Canis lupus familiaris: one gene and its partners. The protein of the gene in region 4 purifies or fractionates together with the protein of the main gene of each other region. This does not show direct contact. Links are inferred from orthologs where the notes say so. Each region holds a gene or a part of one and is shown on either strand. Other genes may lie near its edges.

Region 1 (3,834 bases), on a different chromosome or scaffold from region 4:
CCTCGCGCAGCGCCGGGGCAGAGCAAAGTCGCCGGTGCTGGGGAGCGAGAGGCCACGCCCCCTTAGGCTACAAAGTAGCGGGGCTCGGGGAGAAGAGGCCACGCCCCCTTAGGCTACAAAGTAGCGGGGCTCGGGGAGAAGTGGCCACGCCCCCTTAGGCTCCCCCGGCGCCCGGAGGCGGGGCTTAGGTCTGCGCGGGTCCCACCCCGCGCAAGAAGGGGAAGGGTCTGGCCCCTCAAGAGTCAGCTCTGGCCCAAGGAGGGACCCCTAAAGGCCATCGCAGCGAGTCTCAGGGAAGGGTGTTGCGTGGAAAAAAAGGACTGTGTCCTTACTGTGGAGCGCGGGAGTGGAAACACACAAACAGTTCTCCCTCCGCTCCCAACTCGGGAGGGGTCGCTTTTAAAGCGCGGTTGGGAGTGGGGCTGGCGTTTAAGCTCAATCTTTGGGGCGCGGGGGGCGCCGTCCCTCGGGCGCGTGGGCAGCGGAGGCCTCCCATGCGGCCGCCCACCCCCTCAGAGCACCTGGTAGATGGGGTTGGGGTTTGCGCCCGCTGGGCACTGCGGGGCGGCGTCCGGGGAAGGGGTGGGGGCGCCGCGCTCCGCGTCGCTCTGGGCGGCGGCCTCCTGCGGTCCGGGAGACGACTCCGGCGGCGCCTCGGCCAGCAGGAGCGCGGGCGCCGTGGGGCTCTCGGTGGAGATGCGCTCCACGATGCTGGACAGGCAGTCGAGGCTCGACACCGCAGCACTCTTCCCGGGCCTGGGTTCTGCGCGGGGAGGGGTGGGTTAGTGGCGGCTGAGCCGCGGACAGGCCTCCCGCCTCCGGGCTCAGTGCTTGGGGGCAGACGGGAACCTGAGGACCCAGGGAGAGCACGGAGCGAAAAGGGAGTGGGCTGCACGCTTAGTATTTCATTCCCTGTACCGTCTCCGGGATTAGGGGGAGGGGGAGGTCCAGATAGAGGGAAGCCGTGGCAGCTCAAAGCGGGTAACGTGGGAAGGAGGCGCAAATACGCACCGCTGGGCGCCTCGCTGTAGTAGGTGCCATCGTAGCAGTTCCGCCGCCGGGCACCGCTCGGGGGGCCGCTGTAGTCCATCTGCAAACGGCAAGGGCAAGGGCGACCGAGTCAGGCTCGGGGACCGCGGGGGGCCAGAGCATCACTCTCTGTAACCACCTGCCCCAACTCCCCATGTCTCCGCCACGAGATCTGGGCCCTGGCTGGGGGACAGGGGCGGACGGAGATTGTCTGCAATCTCCCGGGCCAACCAGCGCGTGGACAGTCGCCTAGGAGCATAAGTCTATTTTGTAAATAGGGATGAGTGCAGAAAAGCACAACTCCAGGTCGCTGCAGCAGAGCTCTAACAGCGCCCCCGGCCGGGTGGATCGCATTTGTCCCGTGCGCCCCCAGAGCATCAGGCCACCCCGGTGACGGCTGCTCAGGACACCAGGGTCCACTCCCCAGAAGGTTCCCGGCCCAAACCTCCCTCTGGAGGGCCAACTCCCCGCCTTGTGCAACGCGTCCCAGATACAGCAAGAGCTGCCCTCACTTCTCTAGCTCGGGGTCCTGGCCTTACCATGCCGTCGGAGCAGTTGGAGCGCGGGCTGGACGCGTCGGAGTCGCCGCTGTAGTGTTCGCCGCCACGGCCTGGGGGCAGCGGGCCAGGCGCGTAGAAGGCAGCGGCGGCACCAGGGGGCGCGGCGTCCTGGTCGCGCAGCAGCGCCTGCAGACCTTCGATGTAGCGAATCGCGTTGCGCAGGATCTCCACCTTGGGCAGCCGCTGGTTCGGGTTGCTGGACGTGCAGCGCTTGAGCGTCTCGAAAGCCTCGTTGACTTTGCTCAGGCGGCGCCGCTCGCGCATGGTGGCGGCCTTGCGGCGGTCGGCGTTGGTGGTCTTGCGCTTGCACGCTTTGCAGGCCCACAGCAGACAGCGGCCGGCCTGGTGGTGCCCGCTGGGAGCGCGCACATGCTCGTCCTCGCGCGCGCCTGGCGCAGGGTGCACGGCCGCAGGGAAGTGCGAGTGCTCCTCGGGCTTCAGGAGCGCGCCCACGTGCACGAGGCGCGGGTCCAGGTCCTCGAAGAAACGCAGGTCGGGGGAGTCGAAACACGGGTCATCGTAGAAATCATCCGCCGAGGCGAAGTTGCAGAGGGAGCCGTCGGGGCCGCTCAAGTCTACGTCGCGGAGCGGCGGCGACAGCAGCTCCATATCCCGGCAGGGGGTGGCGCAGTCCCGGCTTCGCCAGGGGTTGCCCCAAACTTTCTGCCTCTCCGCAGCCCTGGCCGTGCGATGGTAAAGTACGGGGTCGTCTGAATGGACACCCGACTTTCCCCCCCTCCGCCGGGTCCTGTCGGGCCTGATGCGCCGGTGAGGAAAGCGGCTGCAGCGCCCCGGGGCTTCCCCACCCCTAGCCTCACGCCAGGCGCCCGGGGCTATTTATCCCGTAGTAGCTAAAGGGCCCCAGAGCGGGAGCGGGCGGCTGGGGGCGGGGGCGCCCGAGGCCAATAGAAACGGGGTGGGGAGGAGCTTGGGATCCCCAGGGTGGCCGCTGGGGCAGGAGACTGGCCAGCCCCCTAGCCCTCGACCCCCGCGCGCGCGCTCCCGCCCCTCCCCGGGCTGGGAGCGAGGCAGAGGCTGGCAGCCCCACGCGGCTGCACTCGGCTCGCGGGCGCGCTCGCTCCAAACCTCCCCGCGCCGTCCGCGTCCGGCGCCCTCGGAAAATGTTGGCCGCGCGCGCCCAGCTCCAAGCTGACTTTGGGCTTCCCTCTGTCCTAGGATTTGTGGGGGACCCAGGTGCAGGGGATGAGTAGAACAGATCGCGAGGGATTTGGAGAGAGACCCGTGGCAGTGGGGCAGAGACACACTCAGAGCGGAGATAGTGAGACAGTGAGAGATACGGCCAAGAGATAGAGACCGAGCAGAAAGCTAGAGGCAGAAGCAGAGAAACCTGCGGCGAGACATAGAGTCCTGGGGGCGAACCGGAATCCCTGGGTGGCGCAGCGGTTTGGCGCCTGCCTTTGGCCCAGGGCGGGATCCTGTAGACCCGGGATCGAATCCCACGTCGGGCTCCCGGTGCATGGAGCCTGCTTCTCCCTCTGCCTGTGTCTCTGCCTCTCTCTCTGTGTGTGTGTGTGACTATCATAAATAAAAAAAAGGGGGGGGCGAACCTGAGATAAACTGGATGCGGCGGCCGGTCCTCGGCCAGTTCCCACCTGGGGAGTCGCTCAGAGGGCGGAGGGCCCAGCCCACCTTCCCCGCCCGCCCGCCTAGGAACAGAGCCGCATGGTGCAGAAGAGGAGGATGGCTGCTGACCCTTGGCGCCAATCTCGCCAAGCCCAGGTCCTGCCCCAGGCTGGAGGCAGGGAAGTGCACTCCTGCCCAGCTCGACCTGTGTGTTTCCGCAGCGGAGTGTCCAGTGCGGGGCTGGGTGGAGATGTGTCTTCAACTGGGAAGAAAACTGTCTGCTCCGGTTTTGCCTCCTTGTTGCGTGCAGCGCTGCACCAGCGAAGTTCACTGCGCAAAGGCCTGGAGCGTCGGGACTCAGCCTGGGAACCCCACATCAGAGTGGAATCTTTGAGAGTAGAGCTTGCAGACCAATGACCTAAGTCCGAATCTGGATCCCACAGTTTTCCTGTGTGATTTTTGCGGAAGTCACATCGCCTTCCAAGCCTCCCGTTTCCCCAGTTTGTAAATTTGGAGATAATAAGAGCGATTTCTTGGAGCGATTGTGGTGGTGGTGAGAATCTAAAGACACCAAAAGATGTGGAGGTCCTCAGTCGGAGGTGCAAGGCTGTATTCTGGAGAAGGCTTGCTTCTGTCGCTGGCACAGACAGGAGTGTGTGCT
Region 2 (4,183 bases), on a different chromosome or scaffold from region 4:
GGTCCCTAATACGATTTTAAAAGAGTGCTTTAGTATAAGATCTAAAATTATGCGCAGTTCCATTCTTTATTCCTAATATAAAAAATATTACTCCACCTCACTTTGCTTCACGCTAAATGCTTAGGATCTTACGCAATATTTTATACCCTAATGTAACTCTCAATCTTCAAATACAGTGTTACTTAATTACACAGAAATAATGAAGAGTTGTAACAATACTGCTATTTTTCCCCCTCTTTCACTTAAGGAGAACTGGCATACCACTTTGGCATAAACAAAAAGACTAAACCTAGGAAGACATCTTTAACTTCTCAAAAGATGTGAACATGCCCACGAAATCCTCTGTGTGTGTCATGATGATAGAAGTTCACGTCTGCACTTCTTACATAAATTTACTGGACCTTTTTAAGTATAAGGCCTTGGGGATACAAAGATGAATAAGACATAGTGGTCTCCATCCTCAATGACTATGGATTAACCTCAGAAAAGTCATTTTAATCTTGGTAGGTGGCACCCTGCTCAATGTTAAGCAATACATATTTTACATTCACATACTGTGAATTCTTATCCTTAAAAATGTAAGGTAATCAAATCAAAAGTTATGTGTTGGATTGTTAACTACTCCAGTTGGTTCATAGGGTCAAATAAAGGTTGTTAGGTTGATGCAGGTAAATGTCCCCAGTGATTCAGCATGAGCGACCCATGCTGGACCACTATATGGTTCTCATGGAACTGACAGTACAAGAAACCCTTGGGAATAAATTTGCATCTTTACTCAACTTTTGGGAAAAAAGAGTGAGAGATGAATTATAAGTAACATGAAAAGCATCTTCATTTGTACTTACTAGTAACATTTCTTAACTTCACTTTATATTCCCCCCCACCCCCCTTCTTCAATTAGAAGTGAGAGATTCTTTTCGTAGGAAAGAATCGTAGGAAAAAAATCTCTCCTCTCCTGTCCAGCTAAACCACAATGAGACTTTCAAAGGGATTAGAGACTTTCAGATCTGGGAGGTTTAGATGCCAGCTTTATCTGTACTGACACTATTATAGTAATCACACCCAAGTATAGTAGGGCTTCTCTCTGTAATTCAAGGCTGTACTTCTTGTTTGGGAGAATAGGGTGGCAAGTCCATGTCTGATGTAAACAAAAAGCACGTATTTTATCATTCCAATGCTTTCTATTCAAATTTATGATGCCGAATCCCAGAGAGCCCACATTTTGGCAGGCATGGTACAAAGTGCTCGCTTTCCAGCTGCTCAGTTCCTGAGGTGCACCACTTTGCACCTAGGAACAAATCCCACGGAGGTCGAATCTCTTCTACCTGCACCTCTATTCTGCCTGGAAGATGCAATCTATCCTATTCAAACCCAACTGAAAACAAGAGGGTTCAAAGTGAGCTGCGAGAGCTACCTCATCTGCCCTCAACCCCTACACCAACTAGTTCAGGTCTTACCCTCCTGCTTCAAACATTTTACACACACACACACACACACACACAAAAAAACACTTTTCTTTCCTATTTTAGGGTGACCGTGTATGTTCACCGCTCTCTGAGGCACAACTGAAGAGAAGGAAAAGGATGTTTTTTTTGTTGTTGTTGGTTTTTTTTGTTTTTGTTTTTTTGTTTTTTTTGTTTTTTTTGGCTAAAGTAGTAACAGACTTTCCAAGTTTAAAGAGCTGGGCACCTGCAAAAGAATGCCTGATTCACAGCACCTGTACGACAAGAACAATGGGGGAGCGTGTTTTCTTATAAACTAGAAATTATGGATTCGACGCAACCAAATCCTTTATAAGCATTGGTGACAGGGGCAATCTTAAAAGCAGCGGGCTTTCTTCGATTTTTAAACAACAACAACAAAAAAAATCTTAGTTTACCATTTTACCAAAATCAAGAACAAAACCATCACACAACGAGTTCTTTAAAAAAAATAATGATGACCTGTATAGCTGACTTACACACACCTGCGGGGGCGGGAGCGGTGGGGGTCAAGGCACCAACGCACATTTTCCTTTCGGAATCACCTCTTAACCAATGCAAGAATGACACAATGGATTCAGGCTAACCGCGCATTATTAAACTCCCCCCTTGGCATACATAATCCGTTCGGAAAATGAGATCATATACTTTGGAAACAGCAGCAGCAGCAGCAAACACCGAACTCACGAAGCTCGGGATGAGGCCGGGAGATGGGGGGCGGGGGGAGGGGGAGGGGGAGCCGTTCCTTTGAAACGCGTTCCCCGTGGTTGGGAGGAAATGCCCGATGATGTCATCCCTAGTTACTCCCTAGCGATGAACACCAGCTACGGGGCTGGGCTTTAAAAGGGGGACCATCTTCCCGCGGACGGCGGCGGCCGCGGAGCCCGGCTCCAAGGCTCTCCCCCGGGAAGGACGCGGCGCCCCGCGCGCGGCGGGAGGAGGAGGCCGGGGGGGGGGGGGGGGAGGCCCGACTCGCACCTGCGCGCCCGCCGCCCGCCGCCCACGCCCGCAGCGACCAGGCCCCAGGCCGGCCCTGACCCCCCGCCCCGCCCCGCCCCGCCCCCCGTCCCAGGCCGACTCCCCGCCCCCCCACCTCGCCCCGGTGCCCGGAGGAAAAGACAATACATTTTAACGCCATTGGAGCTGCTGCTGCCGCTGCCGCCGTGCTGCGGAGGCTGCTTCTCCGGCTCCGGCTCCGGCGGGTGCGGGTGCGGGTGCGGGTCTCGCCGCGGCTCGCCCGGCTGCTCCGCGGGCTGCTGATGCGGGCTGTCGTCGCCGGCGGCCCCGAGCACCTCGGGCTTGTCGGCGTCCGCCATCCCGCCGTCGCTGCCTCCGCCTCCGCCCCCGCCTCCGCCTCGGCCGCCTGCGCGGAGGGGCTCCGAGCGCTGCAATGGCGGCGGCCGGGAAAGCGGTAACGGATCCCGATTTGAAAAGGCCCCGAGCGCTCAGCGGCCCGGATCTCGCGAGAACCGGCCGGAGCCGGGAGACTAGGCGAGGGTGTGAGCCGGGCGCGGGGGGTGGGCGCGGAGGGGGAGGGGAGGGGGCGGGGGGGGGGGCGGCGGGCCGGGGACGCCGGGGCCGCAGCCCGCCCTGCGCGAGCCCGGGGGCGGCCTGACGTGCCCGGAAGCCCCCGATGGGGCCCAGCTCTGCCCACCAGCCCGCCCGCCGCTGGACGCCCACTGGGGTCTCCGCGTACAGAAGTCGGCCCCAGGGCTAGAAATCCCTTGAGCTCCGAAACCCACACTATTCGATCCATTCCTGGGACGGGGCAGTTTAAAGAAGCACATACCACTTTGCATCTTTAAAGACCTCTGCAAATGCACATACCACTTTGCATCTTTAAAGACCTCTGCAAATCTTCAGACACACACCCCTCCCCCCCCCCTTAGAAATCCTTTGAATAATGCAAATAAATCACTTGCTACTTCAATGCCTAGGCACTCTGTGGACATCCAATATACAGTCATTGACGACAGGTTGCAATTCACCAAAATGAACAGCTTTGAATTTCTTTGCATTCTGGTTGTTCTTAAGACAGACGCTTTAGAACTCAGCCATCAGCTTCCAAAAAGAAGGCTGGAAGTTTTCGAATTCTCTGGGCAGCAACCAATGAGGAGAATCTATAATTTTAATAAGAAATCTTCTGCTAGACTAGCTGATAATGGACATTTTGGCTTGGAGTTGTGTTATTTTTATGTTGATGAAAATTACATTCGAAGCAGTTATGGGCTTTCAAACATTTAATTACCATATGGAGTTTTAAGATATACTCATAGATTTTCCCAAATATGAAAAAGTAACCCGTTAAACATAATCAACTACTAACTCCTGAAGACTGATAATATTTCACATTTAAATAGCCTTTGTCAGCTGAGAAGTTTAAAGACCTTCTCAAATGTTTCTTCTGGTAAAGAAGCAAACCTGTATGGTTTAGGTGCTTTGCAGAGTATCACACACACATTAGTAGTCAAGTGGTAGTTTGAAGCTAACATTCAGGGACACCTGGGTGGCTCAGTGGGTGAGCATCTGCCTTTGGCTCAGGTCATGATGCTGGCGTCCTGGGATGGAGCCCCACATCTGGCTCCCTACGGGGAGCCTATTTCTCCCTCTGCCTATGTCTCTGCCTCTCTCTCTGTGGAAAGAAGGAAGGAAGGAAGGAAGGAAGGGAGGGAGGGAGGGAGGAAGGAAGGAAGGAAGGAAGG
Region 3 (4,157 bases), on a different chromosome or scaffold from region 4:
TGTATCTTACTCATCTTGGCATCACAGTGGCCTACATACTCTAGGGCATATAACAGGTGCTCAGGCTGTACTTGCATTGAGTTATTTTGGATCAGTTGGGCTTGAGAAACAGATAGGCCACCTCTGATCCCATTAGTTCTAGAATCATCCCTTCTCTCCACATGCTGGTTCAGCTCTTCCAGTCCTCAGTCAGTCAGATGCTATTCCCAGGCTTCTCATTAGCAAGACAGCATATGCTTATCAAATCGTGATGTTAGTCATGAATGCCTGAACATAGTCAGAGGCTGTGTCGAGTTCGAGTTAGCTAGGCATTTTTCTGAGGCATACAGAAGGAGGTTTCTCTAGAGGTGAGAGAAGTAACCACTGCCAATCAATCAATGCAAACTGTCACCTGCTTCCTTTATGTCTCCTGAGGCTGTTACTCTATGAAGCCTCCCTAAATACCGCAGGCATCAATAAATATGGGGGAGGGAATGGAGAGCAAAGAAGCTGCTCTCAAAATTCAACATTCACCCAAATATTTATTGAGCATGTTCTACAATGTGTGGACACATGTCTTGGAGCAGTTGCACTTGTATCCCGTTTTCAGAGGTCGACTTCAAGGTTATATTTTCCCGGAAGCCTCTGGACACCCCTTATTTGGATTAGGACTACTTTAGCCTATCATTCATAAAATGGCATTTAAAAGGCCTGTTTTCTGGTCTGGATGTTCTGAACTGGAAGCTCTTTGAAGGCAAAAACCCAGGTTTTGTCCTCAGCATTGGCCACGTAGCCTTGCAGAACGCAAGCACCACTCAGTCAACGACTGCAGGATTAAATCAGACAGTGATGTAGAGTGCTAAGCGGAACCTGAGGATAGCAGGGGAAGGCTTCTCTGAGTTGGATCTGGATGTTAGTAGACTACGTGGTCAGTTCACAGGTAAAGTGATGAGAATTCCAGGAAGGGAGCCGGTGTGTGCCAAGTTAGGAGAATATACTGAATTAAGGTGTGAGATTCTGTGGTTAGAGCACAACAGTACTATCCGGAAAGCAAGGGAGCTGGAGAGGAGAGGCAACAGAACCGCGCACCCGTTCGGGTCAAATGCATAACACGTAGCTAAAGGCAGCAACCCCGGCAAGAGGGCAAAGGTGCCGACCTCCAAACCCCGAAAGGGAGCCCACGGGCAGCGCCTCGCACCTCGCCTTGCCCGCAGCACGTGCCGCCGCTCTTCGCGAACCGCGGCCTGCACGGGGGCAGACGGGAGACTCCTGGGGCGCCCAGGGAGGGCCGCCCGGGGCGGGGCGCGCAGGCGCGCTGAGGCCTCGAGCCCCAAGAGGCGGGCGGGTGCGCGCGCTTCCTCGCGCACGCGCGCACGGAGGGGGCGACGGCTGCGGTGACGCTGCTGCGGCGGGCAGGCGGCGGTGCGTGAGGCGCGCGATTCCCTGGGTCTTGGGAGCAGTGCCCCGGCCCCCGCCGCTCCCGCTGCCGCCATGTCGGGCCGGTCGGTCCGGGCAGAGACCCGCAGCCGGGCCAAGGACGACATCAAGAAGGTGATGGCGGCCATCGAGAAAGTGCGGAAATGGTGAGGGGCCGGACCCGAGGGTGCCGGCGGGGTCGCCAGCCCAGGCCCAGAGGAGCGCGAGACTGGCTGGCGGGGTGGGCGCCGACCGGCAGGCGCTGGGGGGAGGGGGGAGCGGGAGAAGGCGGGAGGAGGGTGCAGCTCGCGTCGGCGTGAGGTCAGAGGGCGCGCCGGCTGCCGCCAATCAGGGGGTCGCCCGGCTCGCGGGCCCGCCCACCTGCCCGAGGGCCGCGCGTCTCCCGGAGGGGCTGCGGGCTTCCGGCCGCCGTGGTGGCTGCGTGGCCTCGTTCGCGCGCCGCGCCCCACCCGGCGGGTCTCGGGAGCCTTGCTGCCTCTGAGCTGCCCGGCGTGGTAGCTGACAGTCTCGGGGGGTTTCCCGCCAGCCAGGCCGAGCGCTCTACGTGTTAACTCGTTTTAAGTTTGGTGAGAGCTGCTCGCTAAACCTGTCACGGGAGCAGCCGTGGTCAAGGGAATCAAAACCCGCCTTTCCCCCCAGTGCACTGGCCCGCACGCCGCCAGCTGGGTAGGCTGTTGATAAAGCAGTCGTCGAGACCTACCCTCATTTGGAAACGGCTTGTGTGATGTTCATTGCAGGGCCGGTTGGCCGCCTGTTTTGTATCAGGAACTTCGATGCATCATCACATTAAAAGTTTAACAGCCAACTGTTTGCTCCAACTTCTTGAGTCTTTTAATCTGGCCGACTGCTAGTAATAGTTTTAAAGCCCAGGTAGGGGTTAGCCTTCCTTCCAGAGACCTCTATCCACTCCAGGGGCATCATTACTTCAGGTGTTGTTTTTGTTTTTGCGTGTCTCTTCGTTTCCCTCACAAGTACCTTTTTTTTTTTTTTTTAAGATTTATTTATTTATTTATTTATTTAATTATAGACATAGAGAGAGGCAGGCTCCGTGCCAGGAGTCCGACGTGGGACTCGATCCCGGGACTCCAGGATGGCGCCCTGGGCCAAAGGCAGGCGCTAAACCGCTGGGCCACCCAGGGATCCCCCTCCCTCACAAGTTCCTTCCTTCCTTCCTTTCCTTCCGATTTTATTTATTCATGACAGAGAGAGAGAGAGAGAGGCTGAGACACAGGCAGAGAGAGAAACAGGCTCCACGCAGGGAGCTTGACCTGGGACTCGATCCCGGGACTCCAGGATCACACCCTGGGCTGAAGGCGGCACTAAACCACTGGGCCACCTGGGCTGCCCCTCCTTATTTCTTTATATATAAGAGCTTTATATGTAGTTGAGATTCATATATATTAAATAATTAATGATTTTTTTCCCTCCAAATCTAATCCTCCTAGGGTTGGGGTTTGTTTGTTTTTTGGTGAAACCTAAGAATCAGCACACCTTTCCTTTTCTTCTGGCCATCTCTGCTGAACCCTGACCCCCAGCCCCAGCAGTCTGGCCAGAGGACCATCCTCTCTCATCTGGAACTCTTGGCTTTCTTCAACTCTCATTACCCAGTCCATTCATCACATTGCACTCAGAGTGATTTCACTTTTCAGTGTAAATATTATCATAGCATTCCCCTGCTATAGAAACAATGCTTCAGTGACCTCTTCTTGCTCTTAGGTTAAAGACCAAAGATGGTCTTCCTACCTCACTGGACTGGCTCAGACTGCCCTCTTTCCCCGTGTGGCTTGCCATCTTTCAGCGGGAGCCACAGGAAGCCTGGTATCATCTACCTTCTCCTCCTTGACTAGTTAACTACTCATTCCTTGACCAGTTAACTACTCACAAAAATTGCTTTCTCAAGGGACACCTTTTAAGATTTCTAATCTAAATCAGGTCCCCTTCATAGAACTTTCCACAATTGTATTAGATTGAATAATAAGACATTTCCTTTTTTTTTTTATTTTTATTTTTATTTATTTATGATAGTCACAGAGAGAGAGAGGCAGAGACAGGCAGAGGGAGAAGCAGGCTCCATGCACCAGGAGCCCGACGTGGGATTCGATCCCGGGTCTCCAGGATCACGCCCTGAGCCAAAGGCAGGCGCCAAACCACTGCGCCACCCAGGGATCCCAATAAGACATTTCCTATATTTGACTTTTTAACTTAACTGAAGTGGCAGTTTGATGTGGTTAAGTCTAATGATTAAGCAACTATGAAATGAGTTGTTTGATTTCTGTTTCCAATTGGAATGAGGCTCTGTGAGGGTAGGGACTGTACATCTTGCTGCCTGTGTGCCCAAGGTCTAGCACAGGATCATGAGGAAGTGGAGTGCTCAGTCCAGGAATTAATTTCAGTTTGCTAAGTCTGTAGTTGATTCTTCTTTCTGTTTGTTGAACGGCATCATCAATATCAGCAGTCACAACACTTGCTTTTTTTGCTTTTCTGGAACCTCACATTTGGATTTGAAACTTTCACAAGTCATTCTTCAGGCTCCCCAGCTCTGCTTGTCCATAATCTAATCCTTATTCAAGAATGTCACTTGCATTCCCCCAAAACTGGGGGAAAATTTTTTTTTAGGCTTAACTTTTTAAAAAAGATTTTATTTATTTATTCATGAGAGACACAGAGAGGCAGAGACATAGGCAGAGGGAGAAGCAGGCTCCCTGTGGGGAGCCTGATATGGGACTCAATCCCAGGACCCT
Region 4 (3,560 bases):
ACGCCAAAAACTGATATTGGGAGAAACCAATTAATAGATGAAGAAACTAGTGGATGGAAATCTGAGAACGTAAAATATGTTTAAAGAGCCTTGAGCATCTCTCCACAAGGTATTTAATAATTATAAAAGGAAAAGTAGGAACTTTTCATCACAAATGTCTTGGCAGACAGCAAGGAATAATGGTCAATATCACCAGTGACTGAAGACATCTATGCCATGCACTCCTGAGGTGACCCATGGAGGACACGGCGTCACTCTGGGCTCTACCTGCCAGGAACACATGACCTGAATCTAATCATAAAGAAACAGCAACTCAAACCCAAATTAAAGGCCCTGTAGGAAATACTTGGCTTGTGCTCTTCAGAAATGCCAAGGTCAGAAAAAGCTAAAAGGAAGTGAGGAGCCGTTCAGGATCAAAGGACTAGAAGGACCACCACTGAATGCGATGCATGGCCACACCTTAGCAAATGTTGGGGACGAGATCACGGTATTACTACAGCCGTGTTTGTTTCTGCTTGGTGATCACTGCACAGTTACCAAATAGGACCTTATTTTTAGGAAACACACTGAAGTGCATGGAAGGAAAGGGTCTTCATGTCTGCATCTGATTCTAAGATAGTTTAGGAAAAAAATGTGTGAGAAAATGGGGAACCCAGGTGAGGAAGAGGCAGGAATTCTTTGTCCTGCAATTATGTTAGAGTGAAACTAAAAAATAACAGCATGTACAAAAGAGAGAAGTCTGGAAGGAAACATGCCCAGGAACTGACAATCTACCCTCTTGGGAGTGGACTGAGAAGGGGTGGGATGTGGCAAGGGACATAAGTGGATTCTTCCCATTGTCATAGACAGTGCTGGTGATTTGAAAAGGAAAAAAAAAAAAAAAAAAAAAGTTAAAGGATGCAATAGATCTAAGCTCCCAAGGTTGGGCTGGCCCTTCATGAAAAGAAACTCCTGATTCCTTACCTCGCCATCAGGTCCGATTGCAGGCGTCTGTCCTTCTGCATTTTCTGCCTTCTGGAAGCAAAGAGAGACATGGTCACTTCCTGAATGGGGAGGTTAGGCACACATGCCAAGACAGCTGCTCCAGCCCCACCCAGGGCCAGGCACACGGCCAGGTCCCAGCACACCTTCTTTTTCTTTTTCTTCTTTTTCTCCTTGGCGACCTGGGCAGCCTTGTGCTGCCGCACCAGCTCCGTGAGGTTAGCCACATACTCATCTGTCTGCTGTAAGAGGTAGGCCAAGCGCTTGTCCTTCTTCTGGTCGATGAGCTTGCGGTACCCCTCCTCATCTTCAGCCTGCAGAAGGGTGAGGTTATGGTGCTTGCTTGCAAGAGACAGGTGCTCGTCCATTAGCGCCCCAGGCAGGGACCCCAGAGTCAAGAAGCCCACCGGGGGCTGTTGTTAACCAACAACCAGACCCTCACTAAGGGAGTGGTTAGCTTACACCAGAGCCGTGCTGTATGTACACACTTCACATAGCTGTCAACTTCTTAAGTATTTCCTCAACCCCATTTCCAGGGAAGACCCCAAGGGGGCCTGCTGGGCATACATGCCTTTGCCAGAAGTCTTTTGAAAAGGCCAACAGCCAAGTCCTGGACCCTCTGTCCAAAAACACACCCCAAATCCAACAAATCCAAGCACTGCTCTCCGGTCCGGGCCAGATTACTCTCACAGACCCATAAGCAGGCCCCTCCTGACTTTCTAATAATCAATCAGATCATGTCACCCCAGCTTACACCCTCCTGTGGCTCTCCCCTTCCCCCCGGTATACAGAATTAAATCTAAGCCTTCCTCATGGCCTACAAGGCCCCCTTGACTGCCCTAGGACTCTGCCCTTGCTCATGTCCTCCCCGCACCATTCCAGGAGCACCTGCTATGCCTCACACTTGGTGTTCTGTTACCTGAAGCTCTTACCCTTGCTTCATACAGTCGCCCTCTATCCCTGGGAGACACCTCAGGGAGACATGCTCACCCTTCCCATAAAACCCCCATCAACCCCCATTCCCTCATCCTGCTTCATTCTCTCTGGTGTACTTCCCACCACCTAAAATCACCTTGTTTGTTCAGCCTGGGCATCTGTCTCCCTAGGGCCAGCAGGAGTGGCTGTGAGGGGAGAGACCGCATGCTTCTCCGTGCTGCCGTGGCCACATACATGCACCAGTGCCTGTCAGTATCTGCCCAGCTAGAGAATCCCCCCAAACAGCCAGACACAGAGAGTGGGGAGGAAGGACAGGGATCACATCATCCGTCACGAGGAAGGACAGGGATCACATCATCCGTCACTATCCCGACCTGGAGTATACGCCCCCTCCATTTTCTGGAGAGAACACAAGAGCAGCCAGCTAACCAGCCTAAGGTTTTTGCGATCACTGATGGAACGAACAGGCAAAGGTCTCAGGCCAGGTCTTCTGGATTCCCAAACCCAAGTCCTTTCTTTCTCTCTGTCCCACCTCTAACTCTTAAACCTCAGCATAACACTGGGCAATCAATCCCTGGTGCCTGCCATACCCAAAGCACCCTTGACCAGACACAAAGGCACATGATGTCACGGAGGCAGAAATTTACCATGAGTCTCCGCATTCTCTCTTTCTCAATTCTTTCATTTTCCTTCTTCTGTTCCCTCTCCGTGTTGGCGTGGTACGTGGCCACCGCCTTCGTGAGTTTCTGGATTTTGCCTGTGACCGATCTGTGATATTCTTTGAAATCCTTGGCATGCTGCAGAATGCTGTTGAGGTATTCCTGCAGGGATATATACAAAAGAGAGAACTGGCTACTCCCCAGGGATTGCTGTAGCATTGGTGCAAAGGAAGCAAAGCTTTAAAAAGGCAGCTTGTTTAAAACCAAGATGACGGGGGATCCCCGGGTGACTCAGTGGTTTAGCGCCACCTTTGGCCCAGGGTGTGATCCTGGAGACCCAGGATCGAGTCCCGCATCAGGCTCCCTGCATGGAGCCTACTTCTCCCTCTGCCTGTCTCTCTCTCATGAATAAATAAATTAAAATCTTAAAAAAAAAAAAAAACAAGATGACGTAATCAAAACAGTATGACAAGGACACTGTCTGCCTCTGAGGTTCGGCGTTCTCTGTATCAGGAAAACCCAAGGCTGGGGACTATGGTGAATAGACAGGGCTATCCGCTTCACTGAAACAATCTGGCAGTAACCACTTTAAAACGCTCTTCCCCTCCAAACAAGTTATTCTACTGCCAGGAATTCCCTTTAAGGAAAGGGGCAGATATTGGCCAAAAAAAATCAAGTTCAAGAATGCCTATTCTAGTATTATTTCTAACACTGCAAGGTTAAGAATATGCAACACGTGACCAAACGGGGAAACGGTTACAGAAGTTACTAGATGTGAACACAGAGAAGGAATCCAACGTAGATGCTGAATGTCATTCTTCCATAACACTTAAAAACAAGCCAGTGGGTGTATAGATTTGTTTAAAGAAAGCTATTTAACTTTTGAATACTCTGCGTACAGAAAACCAACATGAGTGATGCATACCAAAATGTAAACAACAGTGGTCAACGCTGAGTATTGACTTTAATTTTTAAACTCTACCA

Evidence for each region.
Region 1: the proteins of SMARCA4 (region 4) and MYOD1 purify together in Homo sapiens (affinity purification with western blotting; 3 studies listed by BioGRID, with this or other methods). This does not show direct contact. The link is inferred for Canis lupus familiaris from reciprocal best matches to the Homo sapiens genes SMARCA4 and MYOD1.
Region 2: the proteins of SMARCA4 (region 4) and MYEF2 purify together in Homo sapiens (affinity purification with western blotting; 3 studies listed by BioGRID, with this or other methods). This does not show direct contact. The link is inferred for Canis lupus familiaris from reciprocal best matches to the Homo sapiens genes SMARCA4 and MYEF2.
Region 3: the proteins of SMARCA4 (region 4) and BCL7B purify together in Homo sapiens (affinity purification with mass spectrometry; 6 studies listed by BioGRID and IntAct, with this or other methods). This does not show direct contact. The link is inferred for Canis lupus familiaris from reciprocal best matches to the Homo sapiens genes SMARCA4 and BCL7B.

The regions. Positions count from the first base shown.
Region 1 is NC_049242.1:40,920,028-40,923,861, reverse strand, and holds MYOD1 (myoblast determination protein 1), read right to left. Parts: upstream 2,418-3,834; 5' UTR 2,199-2,417; coding exon 1,569-2,198; intron 1,091-1,568; coding exon 1,012-1,090; intron 764-1,011; coding exon 513-763; downstream 1-512. UniProt on the Homo sapiens protein: Acts as a transcriptional activator that promotes transcription of muscle-specific target genes and plays a role in muscle differentiation. Together with MYF5 and MYOG, co-occupies muscle-specific gene promoter core region during myogenesis.
Region 2 is NC_049251.1:14,712,235-14,716,417, forward strand, and holds the start of MYEF2 (myelin expression factor 2), read right to left. Parts: upstream 2,813-4,183; 5' UTR 2,798-2,812; coding exon 2,607-2,797; intron 2,210-2,606; exon of another isoform or gene 2,130-2,209; intron 1-2,129. UniProt on the Homo sapiens protein: Transcriptional repressor of the myelin basic protein gene (MBP). Binds to the proximal MB1 element 5'-TTGTCC-3' of the MBP promoter. Its binding to MB1 and function are inhibited by PURA.
Region 3 is NC_049227.1:6,595,155-6,599,311, forward strand, and holds the start of BCL7B (B-cell CLL/lymphoma 7 protein family member B), read left to right. Parts: upstream 1-1,345; 5' UTR 1,346-1,470; coding exon 1,471-1,562; intron 1,563-4,157. UniProt on the Homo sapiens protein: Positive regulator of apoptosis. Plays a role in the Wnt signaling pathway, negatively regulating the expression of Wnt signaling components CTNNB1 and HMGA1.
Region 4 is NC_049241.1:50,637,665-50,641,224, forward strand, and holds part of SMARCA4 (transcription activator BRG1), read right to left. Parts: intron 2,739-3,560; coding exon 2,565-2,738; intron 1,296-2,564; coding exon 1,128-1,295; intron 1,015-1,127; coding exon 964-1,014; intron 1-963. UniProt on the Homo sapiens protein: ATPase involved in transcriptional activation and repression of select genes by chromatin remodeling (alteration of DNA-nucleosome topology).